Oryzias latipes: one gene and its partners. The protein of the gene in region 1 interacts with the protein of each later gene in a biochemical or structural test. Links are inferred from orthologs where the notes say so. Each region holds a gene or a part of one and is shown in the gene's direction. Other genes may lie near its edges.

What was found. The genes of interacting proteins can lie anywhere in the genome.
Region 2: the proteins of E3 ubiquitin-protein ligase Itchy (region 1) and hnrnpul1 form a complex in vitro, tested with the Homo sapiens proteins (2 studies listed by BioGRID and IntAct, with this or other methods). The link is inferred for Oryzias latipes from reciprocal best matches to the Homo sapiens genes ITCH and HNRNPUL1.
Region 3: the proteins of E3 ubiquitin-protein ligase Itchy (region 1) and ubiquitin-conjugating enzyme E2 R1 form a complex in vitro, tested with the Homo sapiens proteins (3 studies listed by BioGRID). The link is inferred for Oryzias latipes from reciprocal best matches to the Homo sapiens genes ITCH and CDC34.
Region 4: the proteins of E3 ubiquitin-protein ligase Itchy (region 1) and spartin form a complex in vitro, tested with the Homo sapiens proteins (2 studies listed by BioGRID). The link is inferred for Oryzias latipes from reciprocal best matches to the Homo sapiens genes ITCH and SPART.

The regions. Positions count from the first base shown.
Region 1 is NC_019865.2:2,027,175-2,030,674, reverse strand, and holds part of E3 ubiquitin-protein ligase Itchy, read left to right. Parts: intron 1-39; coding exon 40-181; intron 182-1,762; coding exon 1,763-1,887; intron 1,888-3,500. UniProt on the Homo sapiens protein: Acts as an Acts as an E3 ubiquitin-protein ligase which accepts ubiquitin from an E2 ubiquitin-conjugating enzyme in the form of a thioester and then directly transfers the ubiquitin to targeted substrates.
Region 2 is NC_019871.2:3,002,468-3,006,621, forward strand, and holds the start of hnrnpul1 (heterogeneous nuclear ribonucleoprotein U-like protein 1), read left to right. Parts: upstream 1-1,354; 5' UTR 1,355-1,453; intron 1,454-1,921; 5' UTR 1,922-1,958; coding exon 1,959-2,184; intron 2,185-3,169; coding exon 3,170-3,448; intron 3,449-3,550; coding exon 3,551-3,743; intron 3,744-3,862; coding exon 3,863-3,936; intron 3,937-4,154. Other genes in the region: opa3 (optic atrophy 3 protein), read left to right, coding at 365-699.
Region 3 is NC_019875.2:22,330,713-22,334,676, forward strand, and holds the start of ubiquitin-conjugating enzyme E2 R1, read left to right. Parts: upstream 1-1,164; 5' UTR 1,165-1,771; coding exon 1,772-1,957; intron 1,958-2,040; coding exon 2,041-2,127; intron 2,128-2,212; coding exon 2,213-2,310; intron 2,311-3,964. Other genes in the region: cactin, read right to left, coding at 328-599. UniProt on the Homo sapiens protein: E2 ubiquitin-conjugating enzyme that accepts ubiquitin from an E1 ubiquitin-activating protein, and catalyzes its covalent attachment to other proteins by an E3 ubiquitin-protein ligase complex. In vitro catalyzes 'Lys-48'-linked polyubiquitination.
Region 4 is NC_019871.2:8,294,728-8,298,719, forward strand, and holds the start of spartin, read left to right. Parts: upstream 1-1,192; 5' UTR 1,193-1,320; exon of another isoform or gene 1,321-1,418; intron 1,419-1,849; 5' UTR 1,850-1,853; coding exon 1,854-2,654; intron 2,655-3,992. UniProt on the Homo sapiens protein: Lipophagy receptor that plays an important role in lipid droplet (LD) turnover in motor neurons.

The DNA.
Region 1 (3,500 bases):
TCGGACTGTTCATCATGCTGCGTCTCTCCTCTGTTCCAGTGCTTTCAGCTAAACTCAGAGAAAACAAGAAGAACTGGTTTGGTCCCAGTCCTTACGTGGAACTGTCAGTTGACGGCCAATGCAAGAAAACTGAACGATGCAACAACACCCACAGCCCCAAGTGGAAGCAACCACTCACTGTGTAAGTAGAAGAAGAAAAAAAACAGAAATTCAGCATAGGAGGCTGGTTCCAACAGTCAGTATGGCTGACCGATAAAGATTCAGGCATAGTTGGACCGTTTCAGTTCACTTTCAGTCTTATTCATAGTCTGTGATCAACCTCTGAATAAATACCCATCCTAATGTTTTAAATGTCGTTAGCTTGTTGTTTCATAAAGCTCATAAGTATTTGGAGAGACACTACAATGGAAATCCTGTTTTTAACATGTTCTTGTAGCATATTTCTCATGATGGAAGACATGTATATGGAAAATTAAGCTTCAAATTGCATTTCTGAGTATTTATTTATTCAAGTCCTTGTGAATCAGGAGCAGATGAAGAAAAATGCAGTTTGAAAAACAGCGTATATGTGACGTGGAAAATATGCTTGGCGAGCCACAAGCTCCTTTTACCAAGCTTTCAGTGGCAGGAAGGCGAAGTAGGGTGGGGTTACTCTGCACCAACAGACCCACCTACAACCTGGAGGTGAATTTCTAGGGAACTTCTGCTGCTCTGCAGAAACTATGTCCTAGAAACACTGGGGACGCTTTGAAAACTGATCAAAAGATGATGGGAGTGGGACTTTGATAAAGATTCACTGTTTTTTGAAGGTTTACAGCTCATTAATGTTCATTTTTTAAATCATTTTAGCCATAGTTTGTTTTTAAAATGGACTTATCAGTTAGCATTGTGTTGGTGATGTCAAGAAGAAAGTGTTAATTTAAAAACCTTAAATGGAAGCAGCTGAACTTTTTCTAAATATTCCAGCTGTCTGGATAAACTGGTTTGACTCTCAGCCTTTAGGTAAAAGTGGTGCACTTCTTTAGAGCTCAAAACATCTGGATTTTTGGATGGATTTTGGTTTAAAACCAAGTCATTCGTGAAGAATTTGTGAATCTTTTCTTTGGGTAAACGAATTCTGGAAAAGCATGTGACAGATGAGGATCAGTGCAGGTTGGCAACACTGTTCCTAAAAACTGTTTCTTCTGGAAGAACACAACCAAAAGTCTCTGAAAAGGACAGTAAAAGCAGCAATTCGCACGTTTTTCACTCCTTTTTATGATGAATGTGGGTAATATTCACTGTTATAAATGTTTATTTTCAGGATAAACATGAGAATGAGTTCAACAAATTTATAAACGGATACAATTAACATTAAAAACACTTCAAAAATGAAATCTAGGTCATTTGGTTACCTATGAAGGTAATGATTTGTTGACCACTTTGTTTTATTAATCTTGATATAAACTTTAAAGTTTTATAGGTTGTACTTGTTGCCATTTAAATACATCATAAATCTCACACTCTGCTGATAAATAGCTTGTCAGTGAAAACACAGTATGTGTTTTCCAAAGCATGTAACAGGATCACGGTTTTCTTCTGCAGGCATTTAGGGCGCTGGATTAACAGCTGTCATGTCACAGAGACCTGCTGTCCTGGTTTAGCTTCTGGGTTTTACAGTAAATTATTCACTTAAGCAACACTTTATCCGTTCACTCAAAGCTAAAGAAAGTTTGTTTTTTTATGCTGTTAAACGATTTGTAACCCCTTTTTTCCCCAACAGGATCGTGACCCCGTTCAGCAAGCTGGTGTTTCGGGTGTGGAGCTACCAGCCGCTGAAGTCTGACGTGCTGCTTGGCATCGCCACCCTGGATATTAGTGAAATACTGAAGTCTAATAACATGAAAAGTAAGTGGAAGGAAACGCGCAGACCAAATCTTAGTGTATGAAACCCATTAGAACATAGTAATGTTGGGCTATAGAATTAAAATGGAATTAAATGGAATAAAAAGTACGCACTTCTGTGGAGAGAAAGCCTCAGGGCCCGTGGGATTGTTATGTCATTGTGAGCCAGCTAATAAGTAGATTAGAGCTCAGCTTTGTTGGCCCATTACTGGATGGATGTCTGAAACTCATTCACTTTGGTTTTTTGCTTTTTACATAATGTGCTCATCTTATCAGACTTGAAAACTAGATTTTTATTGGCATCTCTAAAAACTCTCTCGCTTTGTTTCATAGCAGTCTTCTTCGGTAGATGCACCACTTCCTGATCACCCAAGGCTTTTCCTGCAGCACATCTGTTGTAGAAGAGTAGCAATGACACCAATTAATGCCTGAAGCTGTTTATGCTAATGCGCCTTACAGCCAAATGTCTTTCCCTGGATCACAGAGCAGACAATGGGCTACAAGTCAGACAACAGTCAACATGGTTCATCATTTCTGAGCATCTGAACAGTTTTTAGTGTTTTTTTCAACAAACTCGGTGTAGTTTTTGGTTATACAGTGGTCCCTCGTTTAAATTAACCTGTGTGAGGTGAAACCCGCAATATAGTCGGTGCTTTTTAAAAAAAAAAAAGTTTTAAGGCTTTAATTCCCATCACTACACACTGTATACACTTTTCTCAGACAGGCAGGAACATTTTTTTTACACTTTTCCCTCCCCAACCCTCTTAACCCTTCGAAAGTTCAAACCTCCATTGAAAATTAAGTCAAGTATAACAGTTAGAAAACAAAGATCTGATTGAAGATTTATGTAAATCTGGTAAGATGTGAACTCATTCTGTGCAGTAGACAGGGCACGATAAAAGGAAAGTTCGCGATATTAGTGATCAATATTGCCATGACGATATAATACAGATACATGAACAAAAAAGCAAAATAACCAAAAACATCCAACAGTTTAAATTAAACAAGTCGACATTCCTTAAATGATACTCCAAGTGAGCCTTGTCTACATTGAAGGCGAACATCTAATAAAAGGGCTCCATCCGATTGGTCAAATGCATAAAGGGATGGATTAGGGTTGTGCCGATCGTGATGGCTGACTGACATCACGATGAAGAGACACCATCATGATGCCACGCCCCCACGACGCTGCGAGTCGACACCATAAGCCCCGGTTTCATGTGCAAAATATCTTGATCGGATCAATGGTCGGATTAGAATCCAACTGTGTACGTGGGCCCAGAAAAACGTTTTCGGATTATAACAAACGTTCACATGGGTCACAATTTCGGTTGGAATAAATCATTCACAAATGTTTGTGTAGTGTTTGAAAGACCGGAAGAGGAAACGAGTTCCACTGAGAGGCTGCATACATAGATATCTGGCAGCTCCGTAATATACGAGATTATCTTCTAAACGTGCTTTTATTAATGTTATTATGAAGTGCCTGTTCGCTCATCATTTTAATTTTAATCCATGTGGTCAGTGCTTTTTCTGTTGAAGAACGGACCCGGAAGAAGGCAGGGCTAGGAGAAGACTAACATGGGCTAACAACATTTAGCCTTTGATGAGCATAT
Region 2 (4,154 bases), on another chromosome or scaffold:
AGAAAATCTGCTTCATAAACTGGCGTGCCTTAATTCTGGTTGACTTTCTGGGGGCGCACGGCACACAAAAATCTGTGTTTTTTTAGTTTGTTGGACAGTTTGTACTCTCCAACTGTTTGTGAATGAGTTTCATGAAGTTTCAGTTGGTTTACTTCACTATTTATCCACATTCTTTTTACTTTAGTTACTTTCTAAAGTTAAAATCTTTTTATTTTCCTTTAACCAGAGAGCCACAATAGGTCTGGGTAAAAGTGCCACGTGTGTTTGCGGAGCTGCAGGTTGCAGACCCGCCCCCCCGCCCAGTTTAAATCACCTGAAACATTTTGTCAAGACTCTGACTTCCTGTTCTTTAATATCCTGACAGTTTATCACTGGATCGAGATGAGAACGAAGATGCGGATCATGGGCTTTCGGGGCTCCACCGTCAAACCGCTGAATGAGGAGGCAGCCGCAGAGCTGGGCGCAGAGCTGCTGGGGGAGGCCATCATCTTCCTCATCGGTGGCGGTTGCATGGTGTTGGAGTACAGCAGGCAGGCTGCTAACTCTCGCCGCAAGGAGGAGGAGCTAAACGAGACCATGATCAGTCTACAGACTCAAATAGGGGAGTTAACACTAATAACAGAGACTTTAGATGCTCAGCTGAGGGAAGTTAACAGGCTGGTTCTCTCCCTTCCTGCCCCTGCTCCCACAAAAAAGTGATTAGAGTCGCCGCTTTACATACTGTTGATCTGTGTGTGTTGAAAGAATGAAACTGTAGGCTATTAGCTTGACTCACTGGGTTTCAGTGCACTTGTGGAGTTTTAACCAGTCATTTGCTCACTTTGAGCTAGTAGTTTTAAAAGCATCACTATGATATTCATAGGGATTCTATCTGGTTGACTTTGCATTCGACATTGGGTGTACAGCGCTGTGTAAAGGTAATATATTTTGTGACATTAGCATATTTCTTCATCTTTTTAATCCAGTGATGCAGTCGGAATGCTGTAAATATTCATTTGCAGTTAAAAGTTGGAAAAACCATAACTACGCATAACATTTCACAAAGTTATCTTTAAAAATGAACCTGTCTGTAAAGTTTCTTGTATTGTAATTTTCTTTTTCTGTCATGTAAAACAAAAACTGGATTTAAAAAAATGGAGTGAGATGAGCTGCTTTACTATGTTGTTAATGTGATATGAAGCCAACAGAACATAAACAAATGCCAAATTTAAAGAGAGAGTATTTTTTCCCTATCTATAATAAAGACAAGGTAGTCCCAATATTGCAACTTTTCACAAAAAGCTATAATTTGAAGTCGGTTTGTGCTCATAACTGAAATTCAAGTTTATTATTGACAACAATTCTGCGCATGTGCAAAGCGTCTGTTTTGAACTTCGACGTAGCGCCGCTAGGGGGCAGTAGTTGTTCTTTCAGACTTCTACAACGTCTTGCCGCGCAACCCGCGGAAAAGCAGGTAGGCCTTAATCTTGTTTTTTAATTGTATTTTGCTTATTCACGGTAATAACAACCGACTGCGTCGTGCATTAAGTTAAGTAAAAGGAAGAGAAGTTATATTTGAACATGCAACATGCAGGTTTTCTGAGTTACTTGTTTTGTAAAAGGCTGGTAGGCACGTTAGCTAAACAAGCTAGGAAGGTTGTTGCTGATAGCGACGTAAATATAGGTCGATTGTAGTTTAATATCAGTTTGTAATTCGAGTGGTAGATTTGCTATGGCATAGATGTGGACATTTAAAGACCACAACAAATGATGTTTCGCGTGTTTAGAATATGTGTATTCCGTAAATGTTCAAATGGATGAGCTAGCTTAGCCACGCTAGCGCGTTCTGTTGGAGGCACCGCGCCGCACAAATGCATGAAAGTTCGTCGCTCCGTTTTAGGCTGTGCGCCTTATTTCCGTTTCCTCTGCCTCGTTGCTCAAGGAAAACACCACACAGACCCCACAAACTGCGAAACACAATGAGTTTAGACGTGAAGAAACTGAAAGTCAACGAATTAAAGGATGAGCTTCAGCGGCGCGGCCTTGACACCCGGGGCCTGAAGGCTGACCTGGTGGAGAGGCTGAAAGCCGCTCTGGAGGCTGAAGCTGATGGGGACGATCATGCTGGAGAGCAAGAGGGGCAAGATGAGTTCAGTGAGGACTTCCAGGACAACGAGGACGGAGATGACGCCCAAGAGCAACAAGGTCAGTCGTTGCTGATCGCTTTTGTGTCGTTTTGAATGGACAGAGCCTCTGGAGGGACTTTACCGCGCTCTGAAACCACCAGTGACATGAAAAAAACAACAGAGGATCGTGTTTCTCTGGCTGTACTTTACATTTCAGACAGGAAAGAAACTTATTGGGTGAACAATCATTTAGAATTTTCCTCTTGTGTTGTTAAAATTTTTATATTAACACATTTTTAAATACATTTGTCCCTTTTTAATCATTTTTTTAGACTACAGTGCAGATCTTTCTTTGTATCCAAAGAAAAATCTAATGTTTTTCATCTTTTTTACAGTGTTTTAATTGTGCCAATCATGTTAATAGTGTTTTGTTTTGTTGTCTTGATGTCCAAGTCAGTAATTGGTGGAACAATGTTGACATTAAGCTTAGAACCTAGAGTATTGTCTCCACATTGTGGTTTTAGTAGTAATACTGATAATGAGACATTAAAAATAATCCCCCCTAAGCTTTCCAAAAGTTCAAGGTCCAACAGAACTGTGATAAATATTTGGTTGTTGTTGGCTGTTAAGTATTTTCAAATTAATTTTTGTGTTTTGCCGTGATCCTAAAGAAGTTTTAAAGAGTTTGTGTTTAGTTTGTCAAGAAAGCCTGTTGCTTATCCGAAGCCATGCATCTGATTTTAAGGCTGGCTGAATGATTTTTAATTTATTTTTTTAAGTTTGTATTTTACCAATTTCTGATCTTGTCTTATATATTCCTCTGTCATTTTCATGTCATTTTTTGGACCAAAACAGTAAACTGTTGAAAGTTTTATTGTTAATTCAGGAGATAACAAAAGTTATCATATATGTTATTTAATGTAGCACTTAAATATTACTATAGTTTATATTATAATTGCTATTATGCTGAAGTGGATTTTTATAGTAGGAAAATGTGTTTAGTGTTTTGATTTTTTTTCAGTTCAGATGAAGGACTAACAATTTAATTATCTGTTTATATTTAGCAGAAGCAGCTGAAGACTATGATGATGAAGATGGACAAGGTAACACCCCTCAAGGGGAAGAAGAAGGCGGGGATTCAGGTGGCTACTACGAGGAAGAAGAGGCAGAAGCGGAGGCCAGTGAACCTCAGCAGGCGCCTGACTCGGGTCTCCCCATGCCCGACTTCACCGCTGACGATGATTTGCAAGGGTCGAGCATGGCCTTTGAGGAAGCGGCCAAGCCTGAGATAAAAGTGGAGGAGGAGGTGGAGGAGGAGGAACAGCATGCCAGGAGCACAGAAGGTCATTTTTCAGCCTGGTGTACACACTGATGAGTTCACTGACATTCACCATGGTTTTTTATAGAAACTTGACCCGTTAAAGCAGTCTTATTTTTCATTGAAGAAGTCAAAGTGGAAGTCAAAGCAGAAGATGAACCAGAGCCCGCCGAGAGCCGACCGGAAGAGGCTCCGACAGAGCAGCAGCCGGAACCCGAACAGGTCAAGGTGGAGGGGGACAGAGGTGGGAGCTACAGCCGCAAGAGACACTATGATGAGAGCAGAGGCTACAGCTACTACGAGCACCGGGAGGACAAGAGGTGAGCACATCCTCAACTCCCGTTTTCCCTCTCCTGACTGACACAAACGGGTTTGAGATGAAGGCTGCGCTTCCCTTTTTCCATTCGCTGACTTGTTGAAATGTGTTCATCTTTCATAGATCCCGAACACCACAGCCTCCAGCTGAAGACGAGGAAGAGGGCGTAGACGACTCTCTGATCACCATCGATACGTGTAAGCTATCCTTTTTGCAGCGGGCAAGAACCCGTTGGAGATTTTTTAACAGTGACGGCGCTGTCATTAAATTTAATTTAGTAACATTTAAAAGGTTACTTCAGGTTGGTTGTGTCTGCAAGACGATACAAGTCGGCGACAACTTTAGTTGCAGCATCAAACTTGCCAAAGAGCTGCTTCAGCAACATTTCTACCGTTTTGGATGTTGTCCTGAAGTT
Region 3 (3,964 bases), on another chromosome or scaffold:
AATGAGGTAATACTTTCAAAAAGTGATGGGTTACAGGTTTCAACAGACAACCTAAAAGCCTCTGCAACAAGTAATCTGCCCTGTGACTAATTGTTTACGCAGGTAATGGGGTGACAAAGGAAAAACTATGTATATATACTATACCATGAGAGGAAATACTTAACTTTGGAGATTATAAAAAATATAATAACATAGAATAAACAGTTAACTAGATACTGTTTTGGAGTTTTTTGTTAGAATGTTAATTTATGTGTCGATGAAAATCATTTTTAAATGTTAATGAAAAATTGTTGCCACTATATATTATATTTGATATGTCCAGCTCACCTTGATGATCGGCCCTTCGATTTATTTCGCCTGTCGCTCTCGGAGCCACTACTGGGTCCAGAGCGACGTCGATGTCGAGGCCGCCCTCGGGAAGGAGACCCAGCATCGCTGCTGCTGGATCTTCCTGGGCCGCTTTTTCGTTTTTCCACAGATTTGCCGCGACCTCTTCTTCTGTCATGTGATCTAGAGCGGCTCTCTCTGGATTTATTTCGCCGATTTCGGCTCCCGCTTCTTGATTTTGACCGGGACCTACGTCGAGATTTGGATCCCATTACGAACTTGCTAACAGTGCGGGGTCCGAAAGGCACTGTGTCGCGTAAATAAGAGGTAATAGCTTGAAACCGTTTACAATGAAAAATAAATATTGCACAAAAGTTGCAACTGTCAATGCTACAAACTATTAATTGTTGTTTAATATGTTATTTTATAAAACTTAAAAACATTAATACGGTCAAAAAAAATCCACAGTGCGCACGAATATGACGTCATGTTAGCGAGTATTATTGGCAAGTATTTCAAATAGCAAAAATTATTTAATTTTTTTTTGTTTGTTTTAACTACACAAAACATTTCGAACAAATAATAATAAAGCAACTTGAATGTTTTTTCCCCCACAAATGAGCAAAACATTTTGAATAGTTGTTGAACAAGAAGAAAAACACTTGGGGTCCTTACGAAGTCAGGCGAATGTAGTTCATTTTTCCCTCTGAAAACATTTTCGATAACAAAAGTAATACTTTGGTCAAGCTAAACGTTCTTTCTATAGGTAAAATAATTATAAGTGCTTATATTTTCCGCATACTCTGTCTTAAATACAGGAAAGGTGTTTTCTAATGATAAAATGCACAAAACCGAACTACAAATCCCATACACCAGAGGGAGTTGGCTGTTTTCAGAGTGCAGGGGAGTCCTTTCAGCAACAGTCTTTCCTAATCGTGTTCTCAGATGGCAGCACAAACGTACTTTGTTGCTAGTGTCTTCAGCGTTGTAGTTTAGTACCTCTTTAAATTAGAAAACGCGTCTCGCTTCCTAAAGTGCAGTAAGTGTTGTTTCTGTGCTGAGATCATCGGCTACGGCTGGTCGGTAACTCTGATTAGCCACATTAGCCAGCAGCAACCATTAGATTTACGGCTTATATGCGCGGTTAACCTGGTAAATTGACTAAATCTTTAGGTGCTGGTAGGTTATAATGTCTCGGTTAACTCAGCCGTTGTGAGTGTTGATATTCCCACGTTGTTATTGGGATCTTAGAGCAGAGAAGGTATTGTTTGGCTTGTGCACATCAGCATTATAGCCATAGGTTCGGCCTGTGTTTATTGTTTTTGGAGGTAGAAAACGCAGAACTTGTTGTGGGTCGCTCGACTGTTTTATATCAAACTTAGCTTCGTAAACAGAAGCATCGGCTGTCGAATTAAGATCCCCTCAAAAAACCAAACGAAGCAGAATGGCGCAACACGACTCCTCTCATGTCGCCAGCTCACAGAAAGCTCTCATGCTGGAGATGAAGAGCCTCCAGGAGGAGCCTGTGGAGGGATTCAAAATCACTCTCGTGGACGAAGCTGATTTATACAACTGGGAAGTGGCCATTTTTGGACCACCAAACACTCATTATGAAGGGGGGTACTTTAAGGTAAGAAGTGAAAATGGCAAGAAAATATAATGAGCTAAACTCAAACGATAAGACAAATACAACAAATGGATTTCTTCTTTTAGGCTCGCATCAAGTTTCCTATAGACTATCCATACTCCCCACCAACATTTCGCTTCCTCACCAAAATGTGGCATCCCAACATCTATGAGGTGTTGTATCACAATGACTACAGTGTAATATTGTGTTTTATTTGTGTTGTGGCTGCAGCAAATGACCTTCTTTCCACTCTTTTAGAATGGAGACGTGTGCATTTCTATTCTGCATCCACCAGTGGATGACCCACAGAGTGGAGAGCTGCCCTCAGAGAGATGGAACCCCACCCAGAATGTCCGGTCAGCAGATCCCTCACTCTTATCTCCTCTCTGGTCTCCTCCCTTCTTTGTTTTTTGGTTACTTTAATAATTTATTTGAAGTAGAGTCCTGTGAGTATGGGGTTTCTGTTTGTGCCAAAAATATGTTTTTGTCTGTGTCTTTTGGTCAATTGTCTATGTGTACTGAGCGAGTTTATTGAACATTGGTTCATGTCTATGTACTACAAAGCAATATCGTCTGCGTGCCCATGCTTCTTTGATTATTACTTTCCCCATATCGCCTCACTACGTTGTCAGGAAAGCCCTTAGCAACCGTTGCTAGTGTCGTTAGGTACGTCGTTTTCCCATGTCGCGTCGCTTGTCAAATTTTGCCAAAGCCGTCAGAAAGCAAATGCATTGTAATAATCAAACAAGCACGGGGCACGCAGAAGATACTGCTTAGTATTACATAGACATGAACCAATGTTCAATAAACTTGTTCAGTAGACATAGACAGTGGACGCAAAAACATATTTTTTAGCTCAAACAGAACCCCATATTTGAGATCCTCTTGGCCCCTTACGGATGGACTGCTGCTGTATAGTTTTAAATTATTACAATAACTTTGGTTTTTGTGACTTTTATGAACATCAGAGCAGTTTTTGAGACTATAGGTACAAATAAAAACCTTTGCATACACAAGACATACCACTCCTTTTCCACAACTCTCCCATGCCTAGATCCATATGCATCTTTATTTTCCTCATCCGAGCTGGCATCTCACTCAAAACTGTACAACTGGATAGCTCTGATATTGCTCAGTATTTTTGTCGCACTGTTAATGCTTGGTTTGGCTTGTAAAGGGCTGTAAGCTAGCAGGAGAGAGTGTAGACAAAGGGATGATGGGAAGGGGGGGGGTTGGGTTGCTATGCACCAACGGTCCCACATCTCAGAGGTGAATTTCTAATGTACTGCCGCTCTGCAGAAACTATGTCTTAAAAAAAAGTACACAGGTTTTTGGATTATGGCTAATACACGCATAAACATAATTAAAAGACCACTAGGAATACTTTGAAAATAAATCAAAAGATGAGTGGACTTTATAGACCTGGAATTGTGGACTTGAGTTGAGACCACACATGCCATTAATCACATTAGCAGCAGGGGTCATATTCCACCTTCACACTGCTCTGCACACTCAATAATCTTCTTATGCGTTAAAATTTCTTGTAGAATAATCCCTGCTTCTATTGTAATGAAGTAATACAATCAATTAGGAATATTTTATCCTGGATTATTAAAAACGTTAGTACCAAGATTGTAGAATTAAATGGTTAAATTGAACCTTTTTTTGCATCAGAGTTTTGCAACAACATTAAAAAGTTCCACAAAAAGATGTAAGTACTCAAACTTGTTTCAGCTGTTTTAACAGGCACCTTAATTTTTTCTATTGATAGTTATTACAGCAATTTTTTTAGAATAATTTACCGTGACCTGACATGGGTAAACAAAGAATGAAATGGTTCCTGTGAATTAGGATTTTGTTCCTACAAAATAAAAATTCATTGATGTTGGAGTTATGTAATTATCATTTGCTTACACGCTATAATCTCCATAATATGGTTGTGTCACATTTATCTTTCAGTAAGAAAACAATGACCTAAAAAGTTCTGATTATGCGAGAATATGATGTTCC
Region 4 (3,992 bases), on another chromosome or scaffold:
TTTTTTCTTCTCAATCTTATGCCCATAAGTAGCCAAATGTTTTTATTTTTTTAGTATTCCGTCAAAACGCTTATTTACGGTTATTTGCCCTCTAGAGGTCAGTAACATTCCCTGATGTCCAACAGACCACAATAAGAATGATGCAAAGTTCAAAGGGGACTGTAAATTTTCATTAAAAAGTTAAATAAATATGTTAACCCTCGCTGAACCTTACTTACGGACCCCATAAGATAACACAAGGGTTAAAGTAATGGGGCTGAATTGTGGCACAGTTAAAAAACAATTGCTTCTGGGTGTGCATGTGCCTATACGCCCAAAGGTGCCTTCGATCGACCCCTTGACCCCTTCAAGGGATAAAGCAGGTTAAGAAACTGGATAGAAGTTAAAGCAATAGGATAATTAAAAGCAACTTGCCAGAAAAGCACTTCAGAAGGACCACCCGTTAACTTAGTTGGATGAAAACCAAAATTAAAACAATTTTTAAAATAAAATAATGTATCTCTATATTCAAATCTATATTCAGTTAACGACATAGTGGTTGTTGTGAAAAAAAACCAAAAACAAAATCGCTCTCTTGCCAAGATTTCTATTAAAGTATTACAACAAATTAGGTAATATTTTTTAATAATAAATAACCACAAGATGGCAGTAGAAGATGTCCCGCAGTTTGACAGGCCCTATTTTTTAATGAATGCTTGTTAAAAAAAACATAAATATACAGATATAAAGTTTCAAAATGCAGTACAAAGAAATATTTTTAAGGAAAAAAACTGGACAAAACAAAAAATAGGAAATTTAAAACAACAAACACTAAAACAAACAAATAAAAAAATAACAAAACAAAGTAATGAAAATTATTGGTAATACCCAGCCCTAGTTTTTGAGCTGTTGTGCTTTTTGAAGAAATTGTTTTTAAATATTGCTTAAGTAATATTTTTTAAATTTAGTTTTCAATAGCAAATTTGCTTTAGTGAGTATGACATTTTGCCATTGATAAAAACCTTTTTTCTCATGATCATTTTGACTAAAATTATGAGAACTAAGAATTACATTTTTATTTTTTTCAAGTTGAAATTCATCAAACCTAGAATTTGTGGATGTTCTTCCATACTTTTAATTTGACAGGCATACAGACGATGGCGTAGTTGTGTGAATAACAACTTCCGATAAATACTTTCAAAACAAAACTGATATCACAACAAAGTTGAGATTCTTCATTAAAGGATACTCTTGTTTTGAAAGGTCGACAAAGGGATGTGACGTTGTTTTAAAGCCTTTCACAATTTTGAAGGAGCCTGACCTATAAAGTCCATTCAGTTGGTAAGTGGAGCTGTGGGTTTAGCCTTCTTTTTAATAGCTAAAACAGAAAAGGTACATTTGAAGATAGTTAGTGAGTCGTCGCAAATTACGGCCGCAAAGTAAGTCAGTTTAAGTAGCTAAAACGAAGCTAAAGCTAATGTCAGCAGTGTTATTTTGACAGCTCACGGTCTCTTACAGGAAATTATTAAAAAAAATACGTTGCTATAAGTGAGCATCTGACGTCGTTTGTATACAATTACCTTATCTACAATATAGCTCACTTTAAGTTTAGCGAACGTCCGCAATAGACAGCATGAAAAATTAACCGTCACGCAATTGGAGTCTTGTTGGTTCATTCTAGTCACGTGCCTGGTGCCTAATGTGTTTTCGCCTGCTTGCAAGTTATGTGGCGTAGACAACAAAATAACCCTTTTGCCTCAATGTGTGCAGCTTAAATAAGTGTAAATGTTTGTCGTTTGTCTGTTTTACAGTTCTTTTTTTTTTACAAGCTAACCTGTACTCTGACGCTGCGTTTAAACTCTTCTTTTAGGGGGATGGAAAAGGCTAAACAAGATGCGTTTGATAATGCAAGACTTCAGGTGATCAAAGATGGCTACGACAGGGCTTTTGAGTGCATCAATGAAGGACTCACTGCAGATGAAGCTGGAGACAAGACACGAGCCTTGGAGCTTTACAAGCAAGGCCGGAAACACCTTCTCAGGGCCATCAGCGTGCCCTCACACGGGGATGAGTGTGGTGGCAGCGCCTGGGAGTCAGCCAGACAGATGCAGCAGAAGATGGAGGAGACCCTGAACAACATCACAACTCGCCTCGCCATTCTAGAGACCAGCTCTGACCTCGAGTCTGCACCTACGGAGAGTTCTACTAGTGTTTCTGATTGTAGTGATCTGCCTACAAATGGTCTTTACCCAAAGCTCCAGACCAAAGAGAAGCCAAAGAGGCCAAATCCACCAAATGTTGGTAATGGACCACCTCTTGGAGCTGAAGGAGGCATGGCTCCAAACCTACACCTTATGTTTCCAACCCAAACACCTCCAGCTTACTCCCCCCAGGCAGCGGAGGGCCACACATCCATCTCTTATGGAACAGAATCAGGGGAGATGTCGCTGGTTGGGGATGAGTTCTACAATAGTTCAGCCATCTCTACACCTTCCACCCAGAGTCTAGGAGAAGATGGAGAGGAGCTGATTTACATTCCTAATGGTGTTCAGATATTCTTTGTCACTCCTGATGGACAAGTAAGCGCTCCATCATACCCAGGTTTCCTACGATTGGTGAGGTTTACAGATGATCGCTCTGAGGGAATGCCCGATCGCCCACCAGCATTTCTGCAGGTAGGACAGAAGCGAAAGCAAGCATCACTTTGTTGGAAGCATTAAAGTGTCTTCATTTATCTAAATCCAGAAAGCAATGATAAATAAACCCTCACTGCTGTCTGATGCAATAGCAGGTGGTGAAATGTCATCACTGAAGTTTCACCAGCTTGATTCAGTCTTTCTTTTGCCCTTTGATCCAGTTTTCTTGGATTTATGCTAAGCTAATCAAGGTTTCTTTGTCTGGAGCAACAGATAGGGGAGATTAAAATCTGTTGCCCTGTGGACTGAATGATTTTAGTTGTTTACTCTGTCCCTTTATTCCACTGACTGTTTGATCTCCTAGTTAAAAGCAAACAACAAATCACTACAATGTCACTCTTAACTGTTCACGTGGAGTTACAGATAGAATTGCAACATTTTAAAACCTCTTTTTTTAGATTACCAGTCCTGTTTAACCAGTTTATCAAGGAAATACTGAACTGTAAACTGCAGACAGACTATATTAACACGTAATTTATGTTCAATCAATGCAAGGCTCAAACCCACATATGACACTGTGAAGATACATTTTATTTATAAAATAGAAATCCATTAACAGAAACCGACATTTAGATTTATTATTGAGATTTAAGTCATGCATTCGTGGCCAGAAATGTATTTTGGCAATGCTTTGTGCCACAGCCCTCTTTTAAACTAGAGGATCATGAGACTGAGACTTGAATACTTAATAGGGAATTTCCCAGGTATTCATTGAGTGACATCAGGGAAGCGCATGAGGCCAATTGCATAACCCTGCTTACACTGTTTTGCTCTGTAATCTTGTTGGGCATGCAGTCGTCGCAAAACAGCAGTCGTCTTTGTCTTTCGGCTGCTCTCCTTTTAAAGGTCGCCACAGCAAATCAAATGCCTCCATCGAACTCTCTCTTCTGCGTCCTCCTCGCTCGCCCCAACCCCCCTCATGCCCTCTTTAATGGCCTGTGGAAAATACTGTTTTGGGTCTTTTAAACATGTTCTTGTGGCATTTTTCTGATGATTGACATATATGAAGAAAGCACAAAATTGCATTTCGAGTTCGTTTTCCTCGTCTGAGCTGACTCAAAATGATAGAAGACTTCAACGTGCACCAAGGACCTGATTTGAGCCCCTTCTTGTTTCCTGTGGTGATGCTGCTTGTGTTAGAAGTTTTGGAGATGAACAAAGGGAAGCAGATTGAAATGGTTTAGACCCGATCAGACACACAGTTTATGTTGGTAAAAGGAAGCTAGGGATCTAAAGGAAGACCTAGGAGATTGTTCATGGATGTTGTTAAAGAGAAAAATGACACAATAACATGTAAAAAAACAAAAACAAATGGAT